Ovis aries: one gene and its partners. The protein of the gene in region 1 purifies or fractionates together with the protein of each later gene. This does not show direct contact. Links are inferred from orthologs where the notes say so. Each region holds a gene or a part of one and is shown in the gene's direction. Other genes may lie near its edges.

Region 1 (4,207 bases):
GGGCCACAGGTGATTTATGCTTGACCGTGTGATCATATATATGGCAAGTGAACCATATTCCTCTATTAGGATACAAATGAATAATTCTGAAGTTAAATACAGAAAAGCATAAATGAATGAAATTGGGGATTGAAGCTGTACTAATGCCTTAAACAATACTTACTGATGATCTACCATGTGCTAGAATCTGCCTGCAAAGTGGGAGACTTGGGTTCGATCCCTGGGTCCAAGATCCCCTGGAGAAGGAAATGGTAACCCACCCCAGTATTCTTGCCTGGACAATTCCATGTGTTACAGTCCATGGGGTCGCAAAGCGTCAGACAGGACTAAGTGCCTAACACTACCATGTGCTAGGTACTGGGGAAAAACAGTACTGACTGACATGATTTCTGATTTGAAATCATGTAGGGGTAGGGAGGTCTCCCCAGGTGGTAAAGAATCCCCTTGCCAGTGCAGGAGACGCTGGTTGTATCCCTAGGAAATGGCAAAAAGCTCCAGGATTCTTGCCTGGCAAATTCCATGGAGAGAGGAACCTGGTGGGCTTCAGATCCATGGAGTCGCAAAAAGTCTGGCTCTTTCAGCAGCTGGATGGGGAAAACACCTGTGCACTTACCAGGCTTCCCTGGGCGGCAAACGCCTACGCAGAGCCACAGAGATGGCTGGGGAGGAAGAGGCAGGTGATGGGGTCTGAGGCTCCGGCGTGGGGAGAACCAACTTACTGATGGCAGGTGTCTGGGGCTGGGCAGCTAAGAAAGAACAGACCTGTCACCGAAAGTCACTGTCCTCACAGCAAGGCTACGGCAACCAAGAATGGAAGCTATCCACGCACCAGGGCGCTTCGAAGGCCCTCAGACTCAGCTTATTTTGGTTTGCGGTTCAAGTTAAGGACACGTCTTACATTTTTCTCTCAGGACTCTACGTTCAGGCCTTTTTGTTTGCTTCTCATTTTCGCTCCCGTCCCTAAGAACTTTCCGCTGGTAAGACCTTCTTCAGGTGCAGAAACCAGAAGGAAGCTCCCAGAGCAGTCGGGGCTTAACTCGGAAAGCAGTCAGTTCTGTTGTGGAATCTCCTGTGGCGCTGAGGAGGAAGGCCCCAGAATAATCAGCCAGAGACACAGAAGCAACAAAACCCAGAAACTGGCAGGGCGCTTCTGTCTCTCTCACTCCCTCTCCACCGAGCAGCCTCAGCTCCACACCTAGCACAGCAATTGATTGACAGGAGGGCTCGCCCAATCCCAGAGCGGCGAAGACCGCCCTCGCGTCAGTGATAGGAGGGAAGGGGAAGACTGAACCTATCAGATTGGGCAGGGAGGGGGGGTTTCCTGTCTGCGCGGGTCCGCCCAGGGCCTCGCGACCGGTCGGCGCTGCAGCCCCGCCCTCCCGCCGCGCACGCCCCGCCTCTCTCCCCAGAGCTACGCGGCGGCAGAGCGGAGGCCTCGTGCCGTAACGGCCATCGCGGCGGCCGTGGCGGCGTCCCTGCCCTCCTCAAGTGAGCTGGCGCCGCCCGGGCTTGGCAGAGGGGAGGTGAGACGGTCCTGCCGGCAGGCAGACGCACAGACAGCCTTTTTCTCGTCTGGGGAATCTACATAGCCCGTTACTTGCCGCGGAGCTTCCTCTTCCCTGCTGAAGTTAGCTCCCGGGGCGCCGTCTGCCGGCTCGGAGCGAAGCCGGAGGGGGCGGGGAGGCCGCTTGGTCGGGCCTGGGCTTTTTGCCTCGCGGCTTCGCGCGACCCTCCGGCCACTGCCCTGGGAGGCGCAGCCCTACGACCTTCCTGTCCCTCCCTGGAGCGTCGGGTCCGGGTGAGCGCTGCGGCCGGCCGTCCCTGGAGGCTGAGAGGTCGAGTGTGTGGCGTGCACCCTCCTCCTTTTCTTTACCTCTCAAAGTCCTGACGGCTTTGTGGCGCATTCCGAGGCCGCGGTGGTGGTGGAGAGGGGCGCTTACCTCTAGGAGTGGGAGGGAGCCGTTCAGGGTGCGGAGGATGGACATCCTCGGGATGCGCCTCCCGCCCCTCCCCCCACCCAGCCCCCTGCAGTTTCCCTTGTTGGGAAATCTGGGTTATTATAATATCATGGATTCGTACGTGAGTTACTTGGGCTGTAAGCTTTTGACTTGAGTTGTAATATATCCGGGGGGAAAAATGTATCTTGGTAGTTGGTTTTGTAACCTTTCCTGTGTGTGTCCATAAAAGTTTGCTATTAGAAGCTCGGGAAGCTGAATTTTGTGCCGGACTGAGAACCCTTACTTTACAGACGCCCAGTTTAGTGTCACACTAATGAACTAGTCACTTAAAAATAATTCTGCCCGTTAACTTTGGCAAGAAACCAGGGGAGTTAGGAAAGGATGAGTTGAAGAAATTTCTATCCCCATCTTGGGTGGTGAGCAAAAAAAAGCTCACTGTTCAGTCAGGACAAGTAAATGTTGCAAGAGGTATTCATTTTTAAAAATCTTACTTTGGTAGATGTAAGAAAGACCAACCATACAGTTTATTAAGCAGATGGAAAGTGCTGTGTCTCAACCCTCAGGGAGTTTACAGAGTAAATGGGGAATTATCCAAGAAGAAGGTTCTGTTTGGTAATTGTCAGTAATATTCAGTTCTTAAATAGATATCCCTCATAGTTTGATAGAAACTCGAGATCTGTGCTTTGGTTGATTAATAGTTTTATTTCATTTTTATTGCAAACTTTACGATTTTCTTCTTTGGAAAATTCTGAACAGTTTGCAGAATGTTCAGGATTTCTCAGCTGTGCTTGTTCATATATTAAATTTTAAACTTGTTTGTTCTGTTTTTCTAAATATTTAGTCTAGATTTTACTAGTGCTTTCAGGTCCTTGAAAATAAAACATGAAACATAACAGGGTACGTTTTGTTAGATATTGAGATATGTTTTAGGCCACTGGATTTTTTGCACCTTTGAGAACTTCCCTGCCAAAACTCAAGGTAGATTTGATGCAAATGTTATAAATCACTTGTCAGGAAGACTTAATAAATCCATATCCTGTCTATTTTATTCTTTTATAGTTTAACAATTTTTACAATTTATTTACCTTTGTAATATGGAAAAATACCAGATATTTTTCTGCCTACACCAGAAGACTAAATGATTTTCTTATTTCGTCAATAAGTAGAATTGGAGGAAACTATTGAAATCACTAAGCATTTAACAAATTCTCTGTTAATACTTTGCTGTGGTGTTTTAGGAAGACAATTGACAGGGCCAAAAATGACATTTAAAGATTATTTAATAAGGCAACAATTCTGTCTGGATGTTCCTCACTTTATTTGAAAGATAGAATTTATAGTCTTCCTTCAAAACTGATTCCATATGCTGACTTTGTTTTGGTGATATTTATCATGCCTTAAACTACCCAGGCATAAGCCCTGGTTTTATCTTAAGACTTCCTCTCACCACATAACATTGCCCAATTTTTGTCAGCCATTTTCTGAAATTTCTTTCAGATATCTGTTCTAACCACTCGTTTTCTTTTTTCCCCCCAGTAGCTTTTAACCGGATTTTCTGCCTCTTTTCTCCCTTAGTATGTTCTGGCTTCTGCCTTGTTCTAAAATAGTGCTTCCACCACCCTCACTGTTAAACCAGCATTAGTTCCCTGTTATTTCGAGTATAGTTCAGAATTCCCAGCCTTCTAACAGTCTGCTCAAAACCTGTTTTTTTCTAATGATAACAGTAATTCTCTATAGGAGCTGTCCATCCTAACACAAACCAATCTCTTGTTCTCATCTAGATTGTGTATTTTCCTGCCTTCATGTCTGTTGACACTTTGCCTGTTTATTGCTAGTATTTTTTAAAAGAAATTTTCCTCCTTAAATTAAGTGGCAAGTAAAGTCAGATTTTGTTAACATTTCACATTTGGTCCTTCTGCACAGCCTTCTAGATCTTTCGGTTTCTGTGTTGTTGCTTTCCTTTGAACCCACAGCCCTTACTGTTTTATCATTTCTTTGGTTTTTAATATGTGGACTTGTATTATAATACTACAGAACAATATTGTGGGAATGTTGAATCCATCCTTCCATTTTATACATAGGGAAAATGTAATCCATACAGACTAAGTTCACTGAAATTCACCTAGTGACCCTGGCAGAGCTGACTTACATATACCTTAATTTCCTACTTGATTTCCTAACTCAAGTTCTGTGTATTAAAATTTATGTGTGTATTCTTATGAAGCTATACTTCTTTTCATCTCTTGCAG
Region 2 (3,500 bases), on another chromosome or scaffold:
TAGCAACTGAACAACAATATGTCCACTCCACATTACTGAAACTGGTCAGTGTGAGGTTGTATACCTAAAGGGACAGTAAGTCCACAGAAGTTAAAATTTAATAGTATCTACTATTCTAGAATGTTCCTTGGTGAAATTTCATTACTGTCTTCTTTCTCATTTGCTCATTTTTCCAAAAATTTCCCTGTCTTACTACCATTCTTTGAGATTAATTAGAGGTTTGCATATTAATTTCAGACTAAGGTTGGTTACCATTTTTATGAACTTCTATAGCATCTTTTGTGGCTTCCATCCCACTGTTTTCAATGTCTGTTTCCCATTCTCAACCAGGAGTTCCATGACAGTGTAGTTCATGTCTGGTTTGTTCACTGCTGTTTATACTAGGTTTTACATCCTTGCTGATTCATTGTATATGAGATTGTATTGGTCATTCGTTTCTCAATGATCTCTTACAGTTCTGAGTACTATATGATTATATTGGTTTTTCAGTAGATGGAGAAACATAGTGAAACACATGGATTTCCCTGTAGCTCAAACAGTAAAGAGCCTGCCTGCAATGCAGGAGACCAGGGTTCAGTCCCCGGGTTGGGAAGTTCCTCTGGAGGAGGGAATAGCAATCCACTCCAGTATTCTTGCCTGGAGAATTCCATGGAGAGAGAAGCCTGGCGGGCTACAGTCCGTGGGGGCACAAAGAGTCGGACACGACTGAGCAACTAACACACACAGTGAAACACAAAAACCACTTCAGGTATTAGAGTTAAAATTTGTATTGGACAGTTAAAACGTTTCTTTCTATGTAAGTGTGTGTATACATATGCATACACACATCCATCATTAATAGTGTCTGGTGGCTTTGAGTTGATTGCATTTTTTGGAGGAGTCCGTAGAATTGCTGTTTTCATGGTGTTTCTCTCCCTCTTGCAGTGGAAGCAGCGGAGGAAGTGGCAGCCGAGAGAACAGTGGCAGCAGCAGTATTGGCATTCCCATCGCCGTGCCTACACCCTCACCACCCACCATTGGACCAGGTATGTCATCCCCTAATCCACTGTCATCTGTGGTAGCATTTATGAGCTTTATTATGGAAGTCTGAAGCAATTTAGTTACATTAGTTTCTCCTTACTTATAAAAAAAGCATATTAAATAACTTTGGGGCCATTTTGCTTTAGAAATACTTGGGTACTAGTCAAGAATGATAATTACTATTTCAAGAGCAAACCAATATTGTTGATAATTCAACTGAAAGATCAGTGTCTTTAATGTGAATTATGCATCGCTGAACTTTGATGTTGCCTTGTAGGCTGGTAGGTGTATCAATTCTGGGATAGCTGGTTGTGACTTTCCTGCTTTTATGTATGATAATCGATATATACATCAGTAAACGCTCTGAATGTAACATGGGATTAAACTAAGAAAAGCTCTTTTACTTTTTAGATTATATAAAAATTTAAGAAATCATAGTAGAGCTATGATTAGTCCCTTGATTGTTTAGTAAATGAAAGGAAGACTTTTTGTTGTTAAAATATGCATTTGAAAAATGAGTTCGATAATCAAAACTGGGAAAAATTCTTAGTTTCTCAAGGATGTTGAAAAAGGAGTAAAAGCTACTTATAAAAACAGGCATATTTTATAGTTAATGAAAATGTGAACTCAGTGACCTTTTTACCTTGTAAAATTCTTATTCTTTAACATGCTTTGCATATGGGTGTCTTTCTCTGTTTTTTTCTTCTTTCCAAAGCATTGTACTTTCTTACTGTTTCAGAATGATTAGTTTTCTTTCTTGCACTCTGACCTGAATTATAAACTATTTTATTAGAAAACATTTCTGTCCTCCCTCCTTCTGGAGCTCCACCAGCACCACCTCTTCCACCTCCCCTCCCCGCGAACACTGTGATAGGTGAGACTGCATAACCACTGGAGTGGTTTAACTTACTGTGCCTAGTTCATAGTCAGCTCCTGTTGGACGGTTAGCTTTTGTAGTAGTTATTAGGTTGTAGGTGGTAGCACAAAGTTTAAAGTAGTAAGTCTAATTTAAACTAATTTCTCCTTGTGAAAGGCCTCTGAAGTTATTCAGAAACTTCTCTGTGATGTCAAATGTGTCTCTGCCTTGTTTATAACCAAATTAATGTGGTTTAGCTTTTGTTTTGTTTAGATCTTTCTAGGAGTATTATAGCAGTGATTGTTCAAAAAAAATTTTTTTATTAGTGACGCAGTATTTTTTTAAAGTGAGACTTAATTTGGAACTCCCTGGTGTATACAACAGTCAAAGGAGTGGGGTGAAGGTGGAGGACAGGAAGAAGAAAAATGGAAAAGAGAATGATGTGTAGGGTGCTCTGAGGCTTTCCTGTGGCTCACAGTTGAAAGACTCTGCTGTAGTCAAGGATTAATGGCATCTGAGGGTGCTGTGAAAACATTTTTATCAATAAAATACATTTAAATTGTTCCCAGGTTGAGGGAGACTGGATTGAACATACAGGAATTCCAAATATAGACTATATAAAACCATTCAGCCTAGAAATGCACAGTAGCATTTGGGTGGAAATGGATAAAGAACTGTCTCAAATAATGGAGCTTAGGTGAAATAAAAACATCTAGCATCTTCTTTTAAAAACATTGGCACTTGTACTCAAAAGGAAGTAATAAAAAAAGGCCCTAGTAATAGAAGTTGTTGGCAGAAAGTTCATGTGGAAAAAATAATGCCCTCAACCTAATTAATAATCAGGAAGACAGAAAATAAAAACCAGTGGATACTATTTTATAGCTACTAGATAGGTAAGCATGTCGAAGTCCCCGAGTACCAAATGTCAGTGAGGATGTGCAGTAACAGAAAGGTACATTGCTGGTGGCAGTTTATTAGTTAATATGCTCCCTTTAGAAAGTAATTTGTTGTTACTCAGTCAAGTTGAACCAGGTTTCTTACCTTAGATTTATCAATTTAATTTCTAGATATTTCCCCTAGAGTACTGGTTCTCAAACTATAGATATGTGACTCCTGGGTGTTGCCAAAATCCTTTCTTGGCGTTTTTGAGGTTAGAATTATCTCCATAATAATACTAAGACTTGTTTGCCATTTTTATTGTCATTCTGGTACAAGGACACAGTGGAATTTTCCAGAGGCTACATAACATTTGATAGCATCATTTTTGACAGCTAAAGGAACATGTATTTGTATATTCATGTGTTTTAAAGATAAATCAGTTTTAATTTCTAATATGGTAATTACCTATTCCTGTAACTCACTTCAATAAAAATTTTTTGAGGTTCTCTAATTTTAGAGTGGACCCTAAGACCAAAAAGTTTAACCACCACTGAATTAGAGCAGTGGCTTCTGAAATATGATTTCCAGATCAATAGCATCATTGTTGTGGGAGCTAGTTAAGAATGTAAATTCTCAGGTCCCATTCCAGACCTCCTCATTCAGAAACTGAGACTGGAGCCAAGCAGCTTGTATCACAATAGGCCCTTAAGATAAAATTCTGATCAGTGTTTGAGAACCACTGTTT
Region 3 (3,500 bases), on another chromosome or scaffold:
CAGTCACTACGGTGCCCAGATGCTTTTGCTACCTGCCAGTCCCAGTGCGTACATGGACCTGTATGCATAAACTTCATTTATGCACCTGTTTCCTCATCCAGTAAATAGTCACAGGGTCTCAGCTTCTCTCTGGAGAAAGCCCAGCCCTGCCTGTCCTCCTAGTGCCCATGGTCCAGAAAGGACACAGATGAGGAACTAGGCAACCTCACTGCGAGGGTCAGCTTCTGGGGGGAAAGCCTAGAGGGAGAAGGAGCTCCATCCCCATCTATAGGATTCAGAAAAGTATCCTGGTGAAATGAAGCTTTAGGCCAATATCTGAAAGAGAACTAGGAATTAGCCTAGTGAGGAATGGTGCTCCAGTCAGAGGGAACAGCCTGTTTAAAAGCCCAGAGGCAAAGTGAATTCAGAGCAATTAAAGAAATCAACGTGGTTGGAGAACAGAGTTTGTATGTATTTAGGGGGTGGGGGAGGAGGGAAAGGGGAAGGGACTACAGGAGAAGCCAGAAGCCAGTGTGAGCAGAGCTGTGCAGGTTGTACAAGGTGTTTTGGACACACTTATGCCGGCACTTAGGTAGGTATTTGGGCTTGTATAAGCAGATACTTCTTCACACAGGCCTGCCTTCCCCTGCCCTGTGGTGGGGTGGGTGGTGGTTTTAATGCCTTATCTCATCTACACTCCTATACATACCTTCATATTCCTGAGCAAGTGGGCACCTACCGACCAACTCTGAGCAAGGCAGAAGTAAAGCTTTTGCGTGCCGTCTGAGGGGGAAGCCATGTACCACCCTGCAGGGAACTGTCATGGCTGGGTGAAGTCCCCTCTTTTTGCTCAGAAGATGTAAGCTCCCTAGAGCTCTCTAGGGAGCAGAAAAGGGCCTGTGGGGGACAGGGGAGGAGGGAGGGAGTTTCCAAGGAAAGTCACGGGTGGCCAGAGGGGCAGGACAGGGGTGATGAGGGTCTGGCTGAATGAGGAGGGAGTGGGAAGAAGTGGGTATGTGCAGCAAAGAGGCTGAGGCTTTGAGGGTAGAGGAGACTCAGGGCTTGGGGGGCCCAGAGTTGGCCCTGTATGGTTATCCCTGTTGCCTGGCCCCTTCCTCATTCTGCTTTACGATTGCCATCATGGCGGGTGGGGGTAGGGGAGGGGAAACAGGCTCTTTTGTGGAGTCTGTATGCCTCAGGCTATGGGAGTTCAGTTATTGTATCCATCGGCCTCTGTCCTAGCTGTGCCAAGCCCCCATGAGGGCCTAGATTCAGAGGAAAGGTAAACCACAGCCCTGCTCTCAGGAGCTTGTCTTCAATCTGGACCTGCGGCAGACAGGCCAGACTGACCTTGGAAAGGGCTGAGGGGATATGGAGGCCAGTGGTGATCCAGGGGGAGTTACTGTAGGGCAGGGAGTATTTAGGGTGAGGCTGGAGGTGTGGCCCAGAAGAGAAAGGCTGGAGGTCTGACATCATAGGCCAAAGCGGGGATGGAGCTGGTTCCATTCTGGGCAGGATGGGCAGAGAGGTTTTGTGGTACCAGAGGTAGATTGCAGGGAGGGGAGCTGCCAAATGTCCTGTTTGTTCATAAGCATCTCTCATCTCTGCGTCCAGCCCTGCCCTTCAAGGTGGTGGTGATCTCAGCCATCCTGGCCTTGGTGGTCCTCACGATCATCTCCCTCATTATCCTCATCATGCTCTGGCAGAAGGTAAGCCCCGCCTTTGCCTAATGGGTTCAGAGTGGCACACCATTTTTTCACATGGACCTCTGCCATCCTCTAGTGCTGCAGGATCTGGCCATGTCTGGGGCCCAGCATGGAGCTCAGGGGATAAAATGATGTACAGTAATGCAGGGTGTCTGAGCTTCCTCCAACCGCAGCAGCCTGGACCAACATGGGCCTGGTCCAGACCATCTGGAGTGCTCCGACTCTGCAGCGCACCCCTCTCCCCACCCAGCATCCTGCTCGGGCATCATGTCTGTCCATCCTAGCCACAGGGCACGAGACCTTCAAGGTGGACTGCCTGGGTTCCAGCATTCTTCCAGCTCTCACCCACACTAGGATTCTAGTGAAAGGCATTCTAATCCTGCTAATCTGTCATTTCAGTGGTCTGTACTGCCGTTTCACCATTCCATGACTCTACCGCAGGATTGCTGCACTCGATTCTGTCATTCTAAGATTCCAGTCCTGTGATTCCAGCATCCTATGATTTCAACAGTCTAAGGTTAAATCTTTCTGAGATTCCCACTGTGACTGAGCCGGCATGGGGAGGGGCCATCCACATCCAGTGGAGTGTCCCTGCCTCATGTCACTTTCCAAGGCTACGTGCTCCTCTATTCCCATCGGAGGAGCAACTGAGGTTCTGGGAGAAGCTGGTGAGGAGGTCCTGATAAGCCTGTGGCTCAGCTGTCAGCTGCTTCTCTGCCACCTCCTCCTTACATCTGTTCCCATGGAGCCCGTAAAGGCCTTGGCTCTATTGATAACTTGCTGTATGACTTCAGATCTACTGTATGACTTCAGATAATCTTTTCTGGGCTTCAGTTTTTCTTGTCTCATCTGTTTCATAAGGAGCTGGACCTAGTGGTCCGCCTCTGATGATCCATCCCTGATCTTGATCCTGCAGAAGCCACGCTATGAAATCCGATGGAAAGTGATTGAATCTGTGAGCTCTGATGGCCATGAGTACATCTATGTGGACCCTATGCAGCTGCCCTACGACTCCACCTGGGAGCTGCCACGGGACCAGCTTGTGCTCGGTCAGTCCAAGGAGGCCTCAAGTGGCAGTCTGGGGACTTGAGGCGGGTGGGAACACTGTCTGACATCTGGGCCCAGCCTTGCCATGATTGGCTTGAGACCTAGGGCTGATGTCTTGCCTTCTGTGGCCCTCAAGCCCTACCCTCTGTACAATGAGGGTAAGATGATCCCCCTTGAGACCCTCTAGCCTTTATGTTCTATGATCCAGAGATGCTGTGAGATGAAACCCCTTTGTGGAGAAAGAGGAAGTGCCAGGCCTGTGCTTAGTGCAGCTGGAGAGGCTGAGAGGGTACGGAGAACCTGTGCTCCCCTCTCAGGGAGAGGTTTTCCAGGGACTAAAGAGGGACCAGAAAGTAGGCAGGACTTAGGTGAGACCAGGAAGGACCGCAAAGCACTGTGATTTTAGGAGCCTTCATGGGAGAAACACCTACGTCCAGGGTGGCTTGAGGGATGTCTAACCTGACCTCAGAGAGCATGCATGTTGAGATTCTTCATGAGTCAGCAGCTGAGAGATCATCTCTTTCCCAGGACGCACGCTGGGCTCCGGGGCCTTTGGGCAGGTGGTGGAGGCCACAGCTCATGGCCTGAGCCATTCTCAGGCTACCATGAAAGTGGCCGTGAAGATGCTGAAATGTGAGTCCTGGGAGCCCGCCCCTCCCTCCCCTCACCCCCAACTCCCCCGCACATTCAGGCACTCCCAGAGCAGGCCTTGTGCTGATTCTCAGGGTGCAGAAGTACAGGCATACCACAGCCAGCAGCACTCCCAAT
Region 4 (4,122 bases), on another chromosome or scaffold:
TAACACTGTAAACCAAGGTAACTTTGACATATCCATATTTTATGTGAGGACTCACAGAACTATGATTACATTTTCCTTTTAGATTTATTTCCACTCAGTTAATTTCATTAAGGCAGCCTTCATTTTTTAATAATTTTTTTAAAGAGTATTGATAATGGCTTAACAATCTGTTTAGTACACCCAAGATTTGTACTGGGAGCTTTCAGAAATATTAAAATCAAATAGTTTTACCAGCTTTCATTTGTTAAAGGATAGATGTCTTGAGTTTAACATGTTTTTTGTTTAAAAATAAACAAATACGATGGTAACGATTATACAATAAATGCTAATTTGTTTAAAGTGGAGATGTTTATTCTATAATTCAGGGCAGTGTGTATTATTTATCATCTCCATATTACCAAACTTCGTTTTAAGCCAGCTGTCTAGTGTTTAACCTACTGAGCAAAGGGAGTTACTCTAGTTTCCAATATTGAATATAAATTTTTAAAAGATTCCTGAGATTTCGGATTAAGTTAGATGTATTTTTCTGAGTGACATCTCTAAATGGGTACATTCATTTTGGATAAAAAGTAAACAAGGCCTTTGGTGTTTGAGAAGAAGAAAAACACGAGGAGGGGAAAAGGAAATATTTTTCAATTCATAAAACATCAGGGAAATGTGTGGAGGACCCATAGAGAAACGAACCCAAACTGCAATATTACAAATACATGTATCCTTTTGAGAAATACCACCGGGCAGTAGAAACCTTTTCTAAGTGCCTTTGCTTTTTAGGAACGTCCATCAGCAAGGTCTCTTCCACAATCCTGGCAGAGGCCTGTTCATCCATTTCCACTGTTGAAGTTGGGACAGTGTCTGAGAAACCGCAGGCACCTGCGGCTCTGAGCGAACTGGCGAGGAACACAGGGAAGGGCGTCCCTTCTCTCATTTTCCGTCTCCAGCTTCCAGAATTTTCTGACAGGAGCTCGAAAATCTTTTTTCTCGTGTCTCAGAAAAAAGCTACTTCGGGGACGGGTCTGCAATGACGCTCCGCAAAGGTGTGCGTCTCAGAAGAGGGGATGACAGCTCGCTGGCGGAGACGAGCCACCTCCTCTCTTCAAGCCTCTGTAGAGGACGACTATCCGAGGAACCAGTTCGGACGCCAAACGCTGCGACGGTCCCACAACCCCGCGTCACACCGCAGAGCGCCCGTAGCCCGCGCCTCAGCCGGAAGTGGGCGTGGCCTCGGGCCGGCTAGGCGAAGCCAGGCGCGGCGTGGGGAGGTGGGGTTCCTCCCGGGCCCGGCCCGCAGCCGCGCGTTTCCGGCGCGCTCCCCCGCGTCTCGCGTCCTGTGGTCTCGCCCGTACCCCGCTGCCATGTTGGATTGTGAGGCCGTTGCCGCCGCCGCCGCCGCCGCCGCCACTGCCGCCGAAGGAAGGTTGGGGGAGGAGTTGGGAGTTTAGCGCAGTCGCCGGAGTGCGAGGACAACGACCATCCGGCCAGAGCCTACCCCGGCGGGAACGGGGAGCTTCCCTTTCTCACAGCGGCCCGCCGTCGGCTCCTCCTTCCGTGGCCTCCTCCCTGCGCCGGAGGAGCTGCGAGATGCTACGCCTCTGATTCCCCTCCTCCCGCCCCTGTCACCCAGAAGGGGAACGAGCGCTCGCCCACTCGCCCGAGGAGACGGCCCTGGCCTCCCTACCCCGCCGGCGAAACCATGAGCTCCGGCCAGCAGCAGCCGCCGCCGCCGCGGAGGGTCACCAACGTGGGGTCCCTGCTGCTCACCCCTCAGGAGAACGAGTCCCTCTTCACCTTCCTCGGCAAGAAATGTGTGGTCAGTGTGTGAGACCCGCATCGCCGCCCCCGACCTTAGCCTCCCGGGCCCGGGAGGGAGCGCCGGGAGGTGGGAGTGGGGAAGGAGGCGGGAGCGGCGCGGGGAGAATCGGACTGCTGGCCAGGCCTTTCTCTGACCCGGCTCCCTGGGTGCGGGCAGTGCGGGCCGGAGGCCGCCTCTCGGACCTGCCCAGGGAGCAGGGAAGTGTCAGGTCCGCAGGCCTGTTCTGGAGCCCTGCTCGCTCGGACCCGGGTCCGTGCCTCTGCTGCTGGTTCAGACTTTACTGTCAGGCCTCGCGGGGATATTTTTATAGGAGCTGCCTGATCGTAGTAACTGGGCTCCTGGACTGGCTCTCGCTTCTCCTCCTACGACCCCGATGTGGGGGTACTTTCCTTCACAATGCCATTGGTTTCAGGAGTGGGTGTGGGTCGGGGACCGAAACTCAGATATGAATGAATCGGGCCGTAAGGTCGTCTTTTATTCTCCCTTGAGGATCTCAGGAAGGAATGAAGTCGAGTCCATCGGTTTAGAACGGGGGGCAGGTAATGCTGCTGCTCCCCACTGCAGAGAAACGAGGTTTATTTCTCCAGCAGTCTCTCTCAGGCCTGGTTTCTCTCCTCTCCACTGTTTTTGTTGTTGTTTGTTTGCATTGGTCGGAGATGCTGCTCTCCCAGAACCAAGCTCAGGGGAACCGCGATCTCCAGCAGTTCTTGCCTTTTGGGATCTGAGAATGGGTCTTACTTAGGTCGGTGCTGTGCGGCCTGTTCCAACTCCAGATGGCTGGTTGGAGCCAGCAGCTCTGCTGTGGGAAGGGGAATGTGTTGTTGACGGAAGCATTCATTACATTGGCTGCTGGCGCTTCTGGGGGTGGGGAGGTTGTGCTCTGTGGGGTAGGCCTTGTCAGCCTGCATCTTACTGGGGTGGCCGAGTTGAGCTGTGGTTGAGATTGTTGAAACGCTGTTCAGTTCCCTTTCTCCCCTCTTTACTGGTTAACACCTGCAGAGTCTGTGCCACTGGCACCCCGGAACCACCGAGGGAAATGTCAACAGAGCTGTACCTTTTACAGCTTTCCTTCTAATGTTAAATGTGTCACCCAGACTGCACCTGCTTGTTTAAGAAGTTAGGATTAGACAAGTTCTGGGAAGTTACTAGATTAATTGTTAACTTTCTAGGAGTTTACCCATTGTATCCTGTTCCACCTGGTAGGAGATTGAATCATTACGTTACGTGCAGATGTGTTTCGTATTTCAAAAGTTAGACCTGATCAGAATAAAAAAAGGTGCGTTAGAATCAGGATTTGGGAAAACAGCTTTGAAGACAGTCAAGCCCCCTCTTCACTCTCCCCACACAGTTTTTAAACAAACAAGATAACTGAGCCGGTGAGCCCTCTGTCTCACAGCAATTTAGTAATGTAACCGGAACTAGAAAAGCAGGACTCCTCATGCCTGTTGTGTTGTACTTTCCACTACATCATGTTGTTTTAGAAGTTTTTTTCTTACTTGTTATTTATTTAAAAGTAGTGTTAAAGAAATAATCACTTTTTTTTTTCATCAGAAGCTGATACAATTAAGGTGTAAGATTCTTAAAGCAGCCCTAATTTGTGCATATTTTCAATTTAGGAAAATCTCCAGCCATTTGAATGTGACATTATCTGCAAATGAAAAGTTTTTTAAAAAAATTTTCTGGTACACTACTTATGTTATATAATCTGTCTCAGAAAAGGAAGTAATTGTACTATGTGTTACATACCAGACACATTAGGCAGGGAGGGACATTACATTTATACACAAGCATACTGACTAATTGCTCTGCATTTCCTATAATGTTTACTGGTGTCAAAGAAATGACAGACATGTAAGAATACAGCGATAGATAAAGAATGGATTTCTGTCATTTAGAACCACACTGTTGGAGTTACCTGCTCTTGCTGTATGAAATGGTTGCAAAGATTAATATTTGAAGTCTCCAATTATTAGACAGTAAAGAATGAGATCTTAATTTCTGGAACAGTTCCCCCCCCCCCCCTTTGCTGACCATGCAGTATTTTGTACATTATTGAAATATTTTATCTCATTAAAAAAAAAATCATGCAATGAGATTTACAGGTCAGACCAAATTTGTTAAGCAAGAAGTGCATTCAGAGCTTTAAGAATTATCAAGAAAATGAAGCTGGAGTAGTTACAGTCGTAGCTCTCAAGGAGTTTCATTCCTTCTTTCACTCAGCAAAGTAGTATTGAGTAGCAAAGAGTCGGACACAACTGGGCAACTTCACTTCCTTTCTATAGTTCCTTTTGGAGAAGGAAATGGCAACCCAC
Region 5 (3,500 bases), on another chromosome or scaffold:
CATGCATATGTACAAATGAATATCTTTATTTATCCCCATTACTCCCAGATCTCATATTTGCCAGTTCACCTGTTCATTAAAATTCATTTATTACCTTGAGAATTCCCTGGCAGCCCAGTGGTTAGAACTCTGGGCTTTAACTGCCAAGGGAGCAGGTTCAATCCTTGGTTGGGGAACTAAGATTTCTGCAAGTTTCATGGGGCAGCAAAAAGATAAATAAATTAAAAATTATTACCTTAAAATCTTACAGCACTTTGATGGTAATTTGTGGATCTGTACAGTGTGGTAAAAAATTTGAGTCACCCAAAACACATGTTCCCATGTGAGACTGAGCAAGGCCATGCTCTTCCTTTTATTTCAGCTCTTATACTGTAAGCAGGTAGCCTTTTTGATATTTATTTAGTGCCACAGTTTTTCACATTTTTTGATAATTTCACTGTTTAAAGTGGTCCCCAAGTACAGTGCTGAAGAGCTGTATAGCATTCCTGAGCACACGAAGGCGGTGACATGTCTTACAGAAAATACATGTGTTAGATTAGCTTTGTTCAGGCCTGAGTTACAGTGCTGTTAACCATGAGTTCAATGTTGATGGATCAATGATATATATTCAAGATGTCTTTAAACAGAAACGCATGTGAAACAAGGTTATGTATTTATCAGTTGACAAAAATGTGACCAGATGTTTGCAGGAACCTAACTGTATTTCCACTCAGAACAGTGGTTCAGTATTTGCTGATTTGTTCTTCACAGCAACTTTATAGACCGTGACTGCTACAAATAGTAAAATTTACTGTCTGTATTTGTATATGCTTGGGAAAAGACTGGCAGAAAATAGAATGACATGTATCAATAGCTATGAATGACTACTCTTATCATTAGTTTCAATTTTTCTATATTGAGTCCTTACTACTTCTGTAATCTGATGGTATATATATATATTACATATTCATTTTGAAAACTAAAATTCCCTTTGAGTAAACATAATTTATCACCCAGATATTATCCTTCAAAATTTCCATAAACAGTGTTGGAAATTTGAGGTTTGCTTGAGTTGCCTGAAAGAGAGATGAGAGACTTGGATAATTTGCGAAATCTTTCATTCATAATGTGTCAGAGCTGATAGAACCATCGCTACTTCCCAGTAACCATATGCTCTTGGTCTGCATGGTCTGTATCCAGTGGGTCATTTTCTTTCTCTCTCTTTCTCCCTGGCGTTCAGTTAAGGAAAGGCCAACGTGCCTATTCAGTGGTCTCCTAGTTTCTAGGCTTACTTTAGCAGTTTTCTTTCTGTTTTGACTTGATGTTAAATCCTGTAAAAGAGTTACAATTGTAACTGAATTACAGTTAATCGTACTTTAGTTACAGCTTTATTTTCGTGATTTCGAGCTATACTGTTTCCTTGAATGATTACAGATTTGGGAACCTGCCACCTTACATGAGCAGCTCTTCCCTAGCCATCTAATTCGTGCCCATTTTTGGCAGGTATCTCAGATGGTTGCTTCACTCTCTCTATAGTTTTCAGTAGACTCTGTCCGGTTGATAACGTGCTCTGTTATCCCTTTTGGGGGTGAATAGAACCTTGCTATTTCTGTCATTTTTCTTCCAGTCTTTTAAATGGCTCATTTTTCTTTTAGGAAAAAAGAAGTTCTTTTCAAGCCTGAAGTAAAGTTATTTGCTTCTGTTGACAGACAATGTAGAACTGATACTGAAAACAATTAGTAACCAGCACAGTGTTGAGAGTCAGGACAATGACCAGCCAGACTACGACAGTGTGGCGTCAGACGAAGACACGGATCCGGAAGCCACTGCAAGCAAGGCCCACAGGCAAAAGGTAAGGTGGTGCATTGCACACAGAAAGTGAGCTTATGTTCTTTTTCAGATCTTTCCTCCTAAAAATTTGCCTGATTTGTAAAGCATTCGAGGGCTAGGCCTGGGAAAAGTGCTCTGGAGGTAAAATTGGGTTTTCTACTAGTTTGGCCCAAGCAAAGGTCAACAAGGTAAATATTTTAAAGTTTTAAAATAGGGGGTCCCTTGCCCCTGAGTCAGTTGCTGACTCACAGCCCGGCTGCAGTATTAACTTTATAAAACCTATGAGGAGGGACGGGTGGGTTTTACTCTTTCAACAAATGTTTACTTTTGTTGGGTATTACCCAAACTTCTCTGGATAATACTCTCCTGAATGAGGGCTGGTCTCTTTCCTCTGTGAGGCCGTCCTCACCAAGAGGAGAGGGAACCGCGGTTCGAGGGTCATAAGTGCAGACAGGAGCGGAGGGGTGGGAGCAGGCGATCCACAGACACAGCCTGTCACTGACAGGGAGTGTCAGGGGAGGCTGAGAAGGCCCGGGACGTGGGCACGTGGAAAGGCAGGGAGGGGTCAGACTGAGCGGAGGTGAGACAGGCATCTGGGGGACGTCTGGTCACGTGGAGAGGCAGCCTGAAAGGAGAGGGAGTCTGAGCTGCGGCAGAGGGCGGGGATCACACCGTGCAGGAGCGTGACCCCAGACTGAAGAGCTGAGACCTTGGCTGGCAGCGCAGAGCCCAGGAAGCTTTTAGGCAGGGCGGGAACACCATGTCCACCTTGTTGGGTCCTCTGTTTGGGGAGGACCGTTCTGGTGGGTCAGGAGCGGAGGAGAGGAACCCAGGCAGGGAGGTGCCGACAAGGTCCAAACAAGAGCTGACGCAGGCTCACCTCAGGGCCTCTTCAGCTGGGAGGGTCTGGATGGAAAACAAAAGTCACCGTTGCAGAGAGTGAGCCCGAGGCCAGGGCAGCAGGGGCCTGGCTGGCCTGCCTACCGCTGAATATCCCTGACCTGGCCCACAGGGGGCTCAGCAAACACTTGAGAATGGGCAAACAGGAAGACAGAAAAGGCAGGGCTTGGGGACAAGTTAGACATTGGAAGTGGGAAGGTAGATTTACCCGAGTTGTGTCCGGAGTTTTCCAGCTTACACAGCTGTGCGGGTCAGTGGTGCCACCGGCAGATGCAGGGAACATGGAGGGGATGGCAAGAGTCAGCTGTCCCATCTGAAACATCTCCGCCAGTCTCCCCGGAAGTGCTGAGTTCAGTCGAGTGAAGGCGGGTCTTGACTGGACCCTGCACGACAGGGTCCCTGCACTGGCTAGCCTCCCCCTCCTCTGGGCCTTGCACACCCACGCCCTCTAGCTGAGTCCTACCACAGGCTGGAGCGCTGTCCTCCAGACAGCCACCTGACTAGTGACCTCCCCTCCTGCAGGCTGTTGCTCATGTCCCCCCACCCAGCTGTCTAGTTAAAATGCACCCACGTCCACCTCTCTTTCAGCTCCCCAGCCCCTCACTCCTCCTCTGTTCTGTTTATTTTCCATAGCACTTATCACATTCCCCTATACTATGTAGTTATTTATTATTATTTTTCTCCCTCTCTCACTCAGTTGGGATGTAAACACCATGGAAGCAGGAATCTTTTTCTATTTTCTTTTCTTATGTAACCTAAGCCCCTAGAACACTGCCTGATGCTTAGTAAAA
Region 6 (3,500 bases), about 36 Mb from region 1:
ACAATTTCCAACTGTAGTTCACAGTCTAACTGGTACTTACATAGTTTTTTGAAGACCTTCCAGCAGTTTCATTATTAATCCTGTGTTTTAAATTACATTTGCAAATTGACCTCTGGAATCACAGTGGTAGGAGTTTGTTTTGAATTAGCAATTGCAACTTGGTTAGCAAGTGGAAATATTTAGGACCTATTCCAGTCATTTCTCTGAGCTCACTGAGCTTATGTCCCAAGTTCTAGTCTGATACCCTAGTTTCTCACCAGATTTCATAGTTTCCTCATCTGTTTATTAGTTGTGCTGTGAGTTAAAAATGGAACTCTGTTTATCTGGATGACTGTCATCAGATGCAGTTTCCAATGGCCAACTGAGTTCATGATACCCCAAAGAAATTTCTGGTGTCCACCACTCTTGTGCACACAAAGGAAGGCAATTATTTTAGCCCTGTACATCAAAGTAATTCACTTGCTGTGTTTCTAAATTTGTTTTTAACATTGAAGGCAATACTCATTAATAGTTGCTAAAATGTGCCTCATTGCCTTTCCTTTGATTTTGTTTAGGGAGTTAAGTATTTCTTTGAGATGTTTCTTTCCTGTTTCTGATCATTCCATGTCTCCTGGCAGATCCTAGGAAAGGAGTAGGCTGCATTTCAGGCAGTACCACATGGAAGTTATTTTATGGAAAATATTTCTGAATTCTGGTTTCCTTTCAGGTGCCTCAAAGAACAACTTCTATATCCCCAGCATTAGCAAGAAAGAATTCTCCTGGAAATGGTAGTGCTCTGGGACCCAGATTAGGATCTCAACCCATCAGAGCAAGGTAAGGGAAGGAAGATGGGTAAGGTGAAGGGAAGAGCCCCACCTACCGTTGTCATTACTGCTTTCCTAAAATACCACCTTTGTTCTTTTTTCACTTCTAAGGCATGTTGACTGGCCACCCGGACTGTAAATTTTGGTGGGCCAGAGGCAAGTCTTTTATTTCTTCAGTAGCCTTTCACAGAAACCAGTGTATAATGTGGGCTCATGAATGAATGAGCAAATGAATCACGGAATCAATGCAGAAGCCAGTCTGGCTTACCTTATTTGGCAGGTTTTCAAATGTGGGAGTAAAACTACAAATGAAGTCTGGGTGTGGTACCCCTGACCATTAACCTCAGGGACCGTGTGATGAAGCCAGCCAAACAAAGTGGCCTGATCTGAGATGATTTTTAGCATCAGGTCAAGAAACGTGCCCTGTGGCTCTGTGGTGACCGAAATAGAAAGGAAATCCAAGGAAGACAGTATATATGCATATATGTGTGACCGATTCACTTTGCTCTACAGTAGAAATTAACACAGCATTGTAAAGCAACTATACTCCAATTTACACGTGTACACCCGTGTCGGATCCATGTCAATGTATGGCAGAACCACCACAAGATTGTAAAGTAATTAGCCTCCAATTAAAATAAAGAAATTTATATTAAATAAAAATAATGAATTAAAAAAAGAAAGAAATGTGCCCTGAGGACTATTGAGACAGTAGAAAGTAATTAGCAAAGAGGACTTCCCTGGTGGTACAGTGGTTAAGAATCAGCCTGCCAATGCAGGGGACACAGGTTCAGTGCCATACCTCGTCTGGAAAGATTCCACATGCCTTGGGGCAACTAAGCCCATGCACCACAACTACAGAGCCCATGCTCTAGGGGCTGTGAGCCACAACTACTGAAGCCTGCAGGCCTAGAGCCCATGCTCCACAACAAGAGAAGCCACCACAGTGAGAAGCCCGTGCTCGCCACAACTAGAAAGAGCCCCGGCAAAGCAATGAAGACCCAACTCAGCCAAAAAGAAAGAAAGAAAATAATTGGCAAAGAAGTGCCATAGTGACCAGCTGCAGAGCTGTCCTAGTTTGGCAAATTGCAAAAGGACTAGTTCTCATGAGGAAGTCATCTCTGGAATTGTGGAGTGTCACTGAAATACAGTGATGCTCTTTGCTCTTCTGGAATTTTTTACCAACCATGTATATTCCTACAATCAGGAAGTTGCATCCACCTACTGGTGGGTGTAGAGGTCTGAACAGAAGCTGGAAAATAAACAATATCCTTACAGTATCACAGCAGATTTTATGGGGTAACAGATGCTGTTTGTTGCTGTCGTTCATCAAACTCCCCTCACATGTTTCATGAGTACACTCCTTTTTAGGATCAGCTGAAATAGCAAATGGCCTCTGTTGAGACTATAAAAAGGAACTTAGGGGTACTGTTTTATTCTTCATTGTGTTCATAAGAGGACAGTCTCTTGCTAGTCAAAGAAAAGAGACTGGAAATGAAGGTTATGACTATTTGTACAGATCCTAAAATATGGAATGGTTTTGATCATAAGGCTTTCATTTTTCTCTTCATATGAAAAGCCTTAGGAAGGAGTCAGTCTGTAAATAAGACAGAACTGTACTAAGAACATTCACCTCTGGAGGGCAAAGAAGCTAGCTCATTCTGAGTGGAGTTGCCAGTTGCAGAAGCTCTGAATTTTTTTTTGTCCAGCAGCTTGTCACCACCGAGCCGGTGCTGTGAGCAGGACTGAGGACCCCTTGTGTGGACTGTGACCAGGGAGTGAAAGGAATGTGAGGCTGGATTGCCAGCCTGAACTTTACCAGTCCTCCTCTCCAAGCAATAGTAAACCTCCAGTTATCAGGGCTTCTTGTTCCTTTGAACCCTGCCTTCTAGGCTGTGTTCATGAGATAAGTTGTTTAGAATTTCAGTTTCTGTACATCAAGCATCATTTCAACTTTAAGTCTTTTTCCCTCTATCAACCCAAAAGAAAGAGAACTGTGTTTCTCTAGTCAAATAAAAAGCAGTCCTTTGTTCCCTCTGAGATACTAATTTAATAACATTAAGGCTCCAAAATAACTGATAAGTGGTCGTGCATGCATGCTCAGTTGCTTCAGTTGTGTCCAACTCTTTGCAACCCCATGAACTAGAGCCTGCCAGTCTCCTCTGTCCATGGGATTCTCCAGGCAAGAATACTGGAGTGGGTTGCCATGCCCTCCAACAGGGGATCTTCCCGACCCAGAGATCGAATCCAAGCCTCCTGCATTGCAGGTGAATTCTTTACCTGCTGAGCCACCAGGGAAGCCCAATAAATGGTCAGTGGCTTGCAAAACATGTGCTTTTCCCTTGGAACCTCTTAAACGTTGTATTTTGTCCAAAGAAAGGAGATCTTGTGAATACAGCTAACATTTTTCTGCTTACAGAGAATGTAGGGAGGAAATGAACTTAGCAGTAATAATTATTTACCTGCAATGATAATCAAAAGCATTGCAGGGAAGGGGGGATGGAGAATCCCCGTCTCTGCCATGTAGTGTCGAACATGACTGAGCGACTTCACTTTTGCTTTTCACTTTCATGCATTGGAGAAGGAAATGGCAACCCACTCCAGTGTTCTTGCCTGGAGAATCCCAGGGATGAGGGAGCCTGGTGGGCTGCTGTCTATGGGGTCGCACAGAGTCGGACACGACTGAAGCGACTTAGC
Region 7 (4,261 bases), on another chromosome or scaffold:
CTGAGCCACGGCTTGTGGTTGGGCGTCTGGGTGTTGGGGTGACTTGTTAGGTCGACAGGTGCCCTGGGCCCTGGGCAGGGCCCTGTCTCCCTTCATCTCTGGACCCCACCCTCCTTCACAGCTCGAGTGGCCCCTGCAGAGGTGCCGACGCGAGGGGGAGAGGGGACGTCTCCTGAGAGAGCCCGAGCCCTCTGAGGGCGAGCCGGGGACCTGGGGTCTTTCTGGGAGATTCCCTGAGCAGGTCTGTGGAGCAGCTGTACTCTCTCTTCAGGAGCCAGCTCTACTGGGGGAGACGTGGGTTTATGTCCTGCTCTTACCCAGAGGAGGCTTGCCCACCAGCAGCCTGCACGACTCCGTGGCTGACCACTCGGCAGGCGTGTCCTGCCCGTTGTGCTGGCTGTGGAGACGGCGTGGGTGTGCTGAGTGGCCTCTTTATCCTGGGGTTCAGGCCGGGGGAGAAGTTCCCGAGCGCCGTGCCCTGCTTATGCTGGAAGGTTCCTGAAGCTTCTGCTGGGACGTGAGGGCAGTGTCCTGTTCAGAGTGGCTGCTTGGGCTGGCTCTTGTTGGCCAGCGGCAGGACAGCGGGTCGGGGCGCCCACCCTGCGCCTGGGGAGGGGCCGAGCGGAGGCTGGGAGACTGCAGTCAGACGGGAGCCGGAGGGCGGCGTGGTCATCCTCTGGCCGGGGGCCTCAGAGCTCCTGCTCTGGCGGGCGGGCCACCCTGACCGAATCGCCCCGCCGTGGGTGCTGGTGGCGGCTGGCGTGTGGCGCCTCATCTCCTCCTCAGGGATGGGTGAGCCCTCCTGTGTCCGGTGTTAGTTCAGGGACCAAGCCTGATACCACGTGTGATGCTAAGTGTAAGGAAAGAGCGTGTCAGAGGGTGGTGTAGGGAGCGAGCGTGACGGCTGGGAGGTCGAGTTCGGCTCAGGCGCGTGACGGTCCGCCTTAGCCCTCCCGTGCGCTCGGCGGCTCCGGGCGCTGGGTGCTCGAGAACCTGCCTTCTCTGCTGCACAGGTGGGGCTGGGCGGGTGGACTTCTGTCTGGGAGCCTCGGTGCCCTGATGGACTGAGGTGACCACTGGCAGAGGGTCCACGGGCGGGCAGGCTTGTCTCCGAAGCGTGAGTGCCCCGGGGTAACTGTGCACTGTTATTCCCACTTTCTCTGAACCCTAAGATTTTTTTCTTCTGTTGAATACATTCCTGTTTCAGGAAGTAATTGGTTATCTTTCTCTAGAGAAGCCCTTTAGTCAAAACATCTTTGACTCAGAATGTGCGTCTTCCCCTCTCGGTGGCAGGCGCTTGTCTGGTCTCATTGTGTAGCTTCCTGTTGAGAAGTGTGGTGTGTGTGTGAATTCACTTAAGTTCTGACATCACTTTGGAGCCCATTGGTGGGCTGCTTCAGCCAACCAGACGCTTCCTGGTGTCCAAGTAAGATATATAGTTCTGGAATAACAGGAAACTTCAGCTTTCAACATCCTGTTTTTCTGGGTTTTGTGACTCTCTGCCTTACCACGATGAAGGTTAGTAGATACTTTTATGTATATTTTTTCTTGCAGAATACTACAATTTGAATTTTCCAAGCTCTGGAATTAGGACCTGAGAGCTGAGACTGCCTCCTCCCACCTTTTCCAGGAGAAGGAGCTTTTGTGTTCTGACAGAAGGGAGTGGAGGCCTGTTCAGGGCCCTCCTTTTAATAAAGAACTCAGCCAGCCCATTGCAGATGTAGCTGCACACGCCTGCCTGAATCACGGTCTCCTCTGACTTGAATCTTGGAATCACGGGGATTCCAGAGACTGTCCTAAGGGGTACTCGTTTTCATAGGCGGGCAGGATCTGGCATCACGAACGTTTTATCTCCTGCTCCATCTGCGAGAAAGGTGTGAGCAGTGTCGCAGAGTGCTTGGCTGTCTGAGTTCACGACTCTTCCCCTCTCCCAGCTCTGTTTGCGTTCCTCTCTCAACTTGGGTTTAATGGCCTCCTTTCTGGAGCTGGTTTGTTCAGCTCTTGGATTTTCTTTCTTTGGTTCACGTCTAAGCTCACCTCACGAGGATGTTTACTCATCTCAGAAGGTAAAGCAGGAGAGTGGGCCAGAGACGGCAGTGACTGTCGAGATTTGGAGCAGCCCTGTGTCCTGGGTCTGTCCTCACAGAGACCTTCCGAGCCGTGGCGGGGAGGTGGGATGGTGGGAGCCGGGCGGGTTGCTGCCTTCTTACTGTGTGCGGGCTGTTCTCTGGATGTGGGGGGTGAGGGCTGCGGGGCGGGTTTCAGTTTCTGCAGCGGCCTGTGCGGGGACTGTGCAGTGTGCTGAATCCTCCGGGGCTGCGCAGGGGGTGGGAGGCAGGAAGAGGAGCCGGGCTTCCTGGCAGGATGTGAGACGCAGGAACCGTGAACCAGCTGGGGCGACCTGCAGAGGACGCCGTTCCTGGGATGGCTGGCCGCCGGAGGTCACTTTTGCCCCGGTGAGAGAATCTTTGAAGTATGTTATCCTAGTTTTCATTTTGACATATGAACACATCTTTCTGTTACCTGCATCTCTGAAAGAATTTTCTTTCCCTACTTTCTCTGGCACAAGTTGTGGATCATCTGATGGTTAAATTTTTTGGTGGGGAGTTGTTGTTATTTAGTGATCCAAAGCTGTGTGTGATCTTCAGACAGCGTTTGGGAGTGAGGTGTGTGTGTCTCAGCCCGTGGTGTCTGTGCACACGTCCGAGACCGTGGCGCTCTGTCTGGGCAGCCCGACGTGCATTCTCTTCCAGCTCCTGGGCGGGCGGGGCTGGGCCAGTGCGGTTGTGTCCCTGGTCTCTGGGGTGGAGGCGCCCCTCTTTCTGGAGTCTGGCTCCCCGCTTCCTCTCCCTCGACCCTTGTGTCCACTCCAGCATCTGGGCTTCCCTTTGGCTGCTCCTGACTTTGGCCTGGGCTGTGACCGGGAGAGGAAGTCTGTCGTAGGCATGCCCAGCAGCCTTGGCCTCAGTCTAAGGAGAAGAGCCCTCTCTGAGTGCCAGGAGTGCCCCAGGTCGCTGGGAGGGTGGGGCAGGGTGGTTCAGAACTGGACTCAGCCCCAGGAGCAGAGTGGCCCGGCCTCCTGGAAGCTGAGCTCCTCGGGTGCCCTTGCCCGGGTCTCACCTGCAAAGCCCACTGTCTTCCTCCCGCTGCACAGACTGCCACGCCCCGCCAGTGCCGGGCTCGGCTAATTCTGCTTATTCTCTTTCCCTTGCAGACGTTTGATGCAAACGATTTGTATCAGGGGCAGAATTTCAACAAGGTCCTCAGCTCCTTAGTGACGCTGAATAAAGTAACAGCAGGTAAGTGTCTTTCTGCTGAACCTGAGGGGAGGGGAAGCCACGGGCAGAGACCGCGCCCTCCTGTCAGCAGGCAGGAGCTTAGAAAAGGACCGCGCTAAGCTCTTGGCTGTGGCTTTGCTGCGATGCTATTCTTTTTCCTTGTCAGAGCAGCTCTTCCTTTTCGGGTCCCCGTGTGTCTTGGTGCTTCCCCTCCTCTGCCTGAGCGAGCAGCAGAGTGGCCTCGTCCACGGGTGCACTCATGGGCTGTCCTGGCCCCTCGGATGGGGGCGCTCTGCCCTCACTGTGTGGGGAGGAGTGGGCCCGAGGGACCACTCCCAGGGCCCTCAGGCGCCCACAGCTCTAGGCTGGGCTTCTGTGCTTGACCTTGGCTTGCAGTGGAGACTCTTGGCGGTTGCAATGGCAGCACCTCAGGTCAAGCTGAATTAGGACCCGGGTGAGTGAGTGTAGACAAGGGTGGAGGTCTGGATTCTGGAGCAGAGGTGGGCTCAGACGGACGTCAGCACTCCACCCGGAGCAGGCCTTGCAGGAGGAGATCTGTGGCATCTCATGAAGGTTGTCCGTCAGGCAGCACGCTGCTCCTGCCGGCAAACCCCCCCCCCCCCCGCCCCGCCCCGCCCCGTGAAGGGATGGGCTTGATGTGAGCACTCAGCAAGAGGGTGGCCGGCTGTGAGCGGCCAGGCTGGCTCTGAGAACCGTGCTTCCCCCGTGACTCCATGCCCCGGCCCAGCCCAGCCACCCCTGGCTGCCAGGACCACGGCTGATGCGCTGTCCTGGGGCTGGACGTGCGCTCGGGCCACAGGCAGGAGCAGCTTCGGTAGATACAGACCCCACGCGAGGCTGGAGGCGTCTGTTTCCGGGGTCGGAGGCTGCTTCTGCTCCGTCCACCAGGTGGCGATGCTCGGTCATCGCGGCGGGAGTGCGGGGCTCCACACGCCCCGTGCAGACACGGGCCGGGGCCGACA

What was found.
Region 2: the proteins of NCK1 (region 1) and ABI1 purify together in Homo sapiens (co-immunoprecipitation; 4 studies listed by BioGRID and IntAct, with this or other methods). This does not show direct contact. The link is inferred for Ovis aries from reciprocal best matches to the Homo sapiens genes NCK1 and ABI1.
Region 3: the proteins of NCK1 (region 1) and PDGFRB purify together in Homo sapiens (affinity purification with western blotting; 3 studies listed by BioGRID and IntAct, with this or other methods). This does not show direct contact. The link is inferred for Ovis aries from reciprocal best matches to the Homo sapiens genes NCK1 and PDGFRB.
Region 4: the proteins of NCK1 (region 1) and WASL purify together in Homo sapiens (co-immunoprecipitation; 4 studies listed by BioGRID and IntAct, with this or other methods). This does not show direct contact. The link is inferred for Ovis aries from reciprocal best matches to the Homo sapiens genes NCK1 and WASL.
Region 5: the proteins of NCK1 (region 1) and GIT2 purify together in Homo sapiens (co-immunoprecipitation; 3 studies listed by BioGRID and IntAct, with this or other methods). This does not show direct contact. The link is inferred for Ovis aries from reciprocal best matches to the Homo sapiens genes NCK1 and GIT2.
Region 6: the proteins of NCK1 (region 1) and TNIK purify together in Homo sapiens (affinity purification with mass spectrometry; 3 studies listed by BioGRID and IntAct, with this or other methods). This does not show direct contact. The link is inferred for Ovis aries from reciprocal best matches to the Homo sapiens genes NCK1 and TNIK.
Region 7: the proteins of NCK1 (region 1) and ARHGEF7 purify together in Homo sapiens (co-immunoprecipitation; 3 studies listed by BioGRID and IntAct, with this or other methods). This does not show direct contact. The link is inferred for Ovis aries from reciprocal best matches to the Homo sapiens genes NCK1 and ARHGEF7.

What each region holds. Positions count from the first base shown.
Region 1 is NC_056054.1:252,945,119-252,949,325, reverse strand, and holds the start of NCK1 (cytoplasmic protein NCK1), read left to right. Parts: upstream 1-1,407; 5' UTR 1,408-1,523; exon of another isoform or gene 1,524-1,798; intron 1,799-4,207. UniProt on the Homo sapiens protein: Adapter protein which associates with tyrosine-phosphorylated growth factor receptors, such as KDR and PDGFRB, or their cellular substrates. Maintains low levels of EIF2S1 phosphorylation by promoting its dephosphorylation by PP1.
Region 2 is NC_056066.1:17,230,811-17,234,310, forward strand, and holds part of ABI1 (abl interactor 1), read left to right. Parts: intron 1-924; coding exon 925-1,025; intron 1,026-1,813; coding exon 1,814-1,894; intron 1,895-3,500. UniProt on the Homo sapiens protein: May act in negative regulation of cell growth and transformation by interacting with nonreceptor tyrosine kinases ABL1 and/or ABL2. May play a role in regulation of EGF-induced Erk pathway activation. Involved in cytoskeletal reorganization and EGFR signaling.
Region 3 is NC_056058.1:59,246,384-59,249,883, reverse strand, and holds part of PDGFRB (platelet-derived growth factor receptor beta), read left to right. Parts: intron 1-1,593; coding exon 1,594-1,688; intron 1,689-2,601; coding exon 2,602-2,734; intron 2,735-3,260; coding exon 3,261-3,365; intron 3,366-3,500. UniProt on the Homo sapiens protein: Tyrosine-protein kinase that acts as a cell-surface receptor for homodimeric PDGFB and PDGFD and for heterodimers formed by PDGFA and PDGFB, and plays an essential role in the regulation of embryonic development, cell proliferation, survival, differentiation, chemotaxis and migration.
Region 4 is NC_056057.1:89,673,191-89,677,312, reverse strand, and holds the start of WASL (actin nucleation-promoting factor WASL), read left to right. Parts: upstream 1-1,322; 5' UTR 1,323-1,690; coding exon 1,691-1,807; exon of another isoform or gene 1,808-4,122. UniProt on the Homo sapiens protein: Regulates actin polymerization by stimulating the actin-nucleating activity of the Arp2/3 complex. Involved in various processes, such as mitosis and cytokinesis, via its role in the regulation of actin polymerization.
Region 5 is NC_056070.1:63,467,486-63,470,985, forward strand, and holds part of GIT2 (ARF GTPase-activating protein GIT2), read left to right. Parts: intron 1-1,688; coding exon 1,689-1,831; intron 1,832-3,500. UniProt on the Homo sapiens protein: GTPase-activating protein for ADP ribosylation factor family members, including ARF1.
Region 6 is NC_056054.1:217,053,465-217,056,964, forward strand, and holds part of TNIK (TRAF2 and NCK-interacting protein kinase), read left to right. Parts: intron 1-706; coding exon 707-813; intron 814-3,500. UniProt on the Homo sapiens protein: Serine/threonine kinase that acts as an essential activator of the Wnt signaling pathway. Recruited to promoters of Wnt target genes and required to activate their expression. May act by phosphorylating TCF4/TCF7L2.
Region 7 is NC_056063.1:84,832,088-84,836,348, forward strand, and holds the start of ARHGEF7 (rho guanine nucleotide exchange factor 7), read left to right. Parts: upstream 1-1,461; 5' UTR 1,462-1,512; coding exon of another isoform or gene 1,513-1,518; 5' UTR 1,519-1,967; coding exon 1,968-2,456; intron 2,457-3,214; coding exon 3,215-3,299; intron 3,300-4,261. UniProt on the Homo sapiens protein: Acts as a RAC1 guanine nucleotide exchange factor (GEF) and can induce membrane ruffling. Functions in cell migration, attachment and cell spreading. Promotes targeting of RAC1 to focal adhesions. May function as a positive regulator of apoptosis.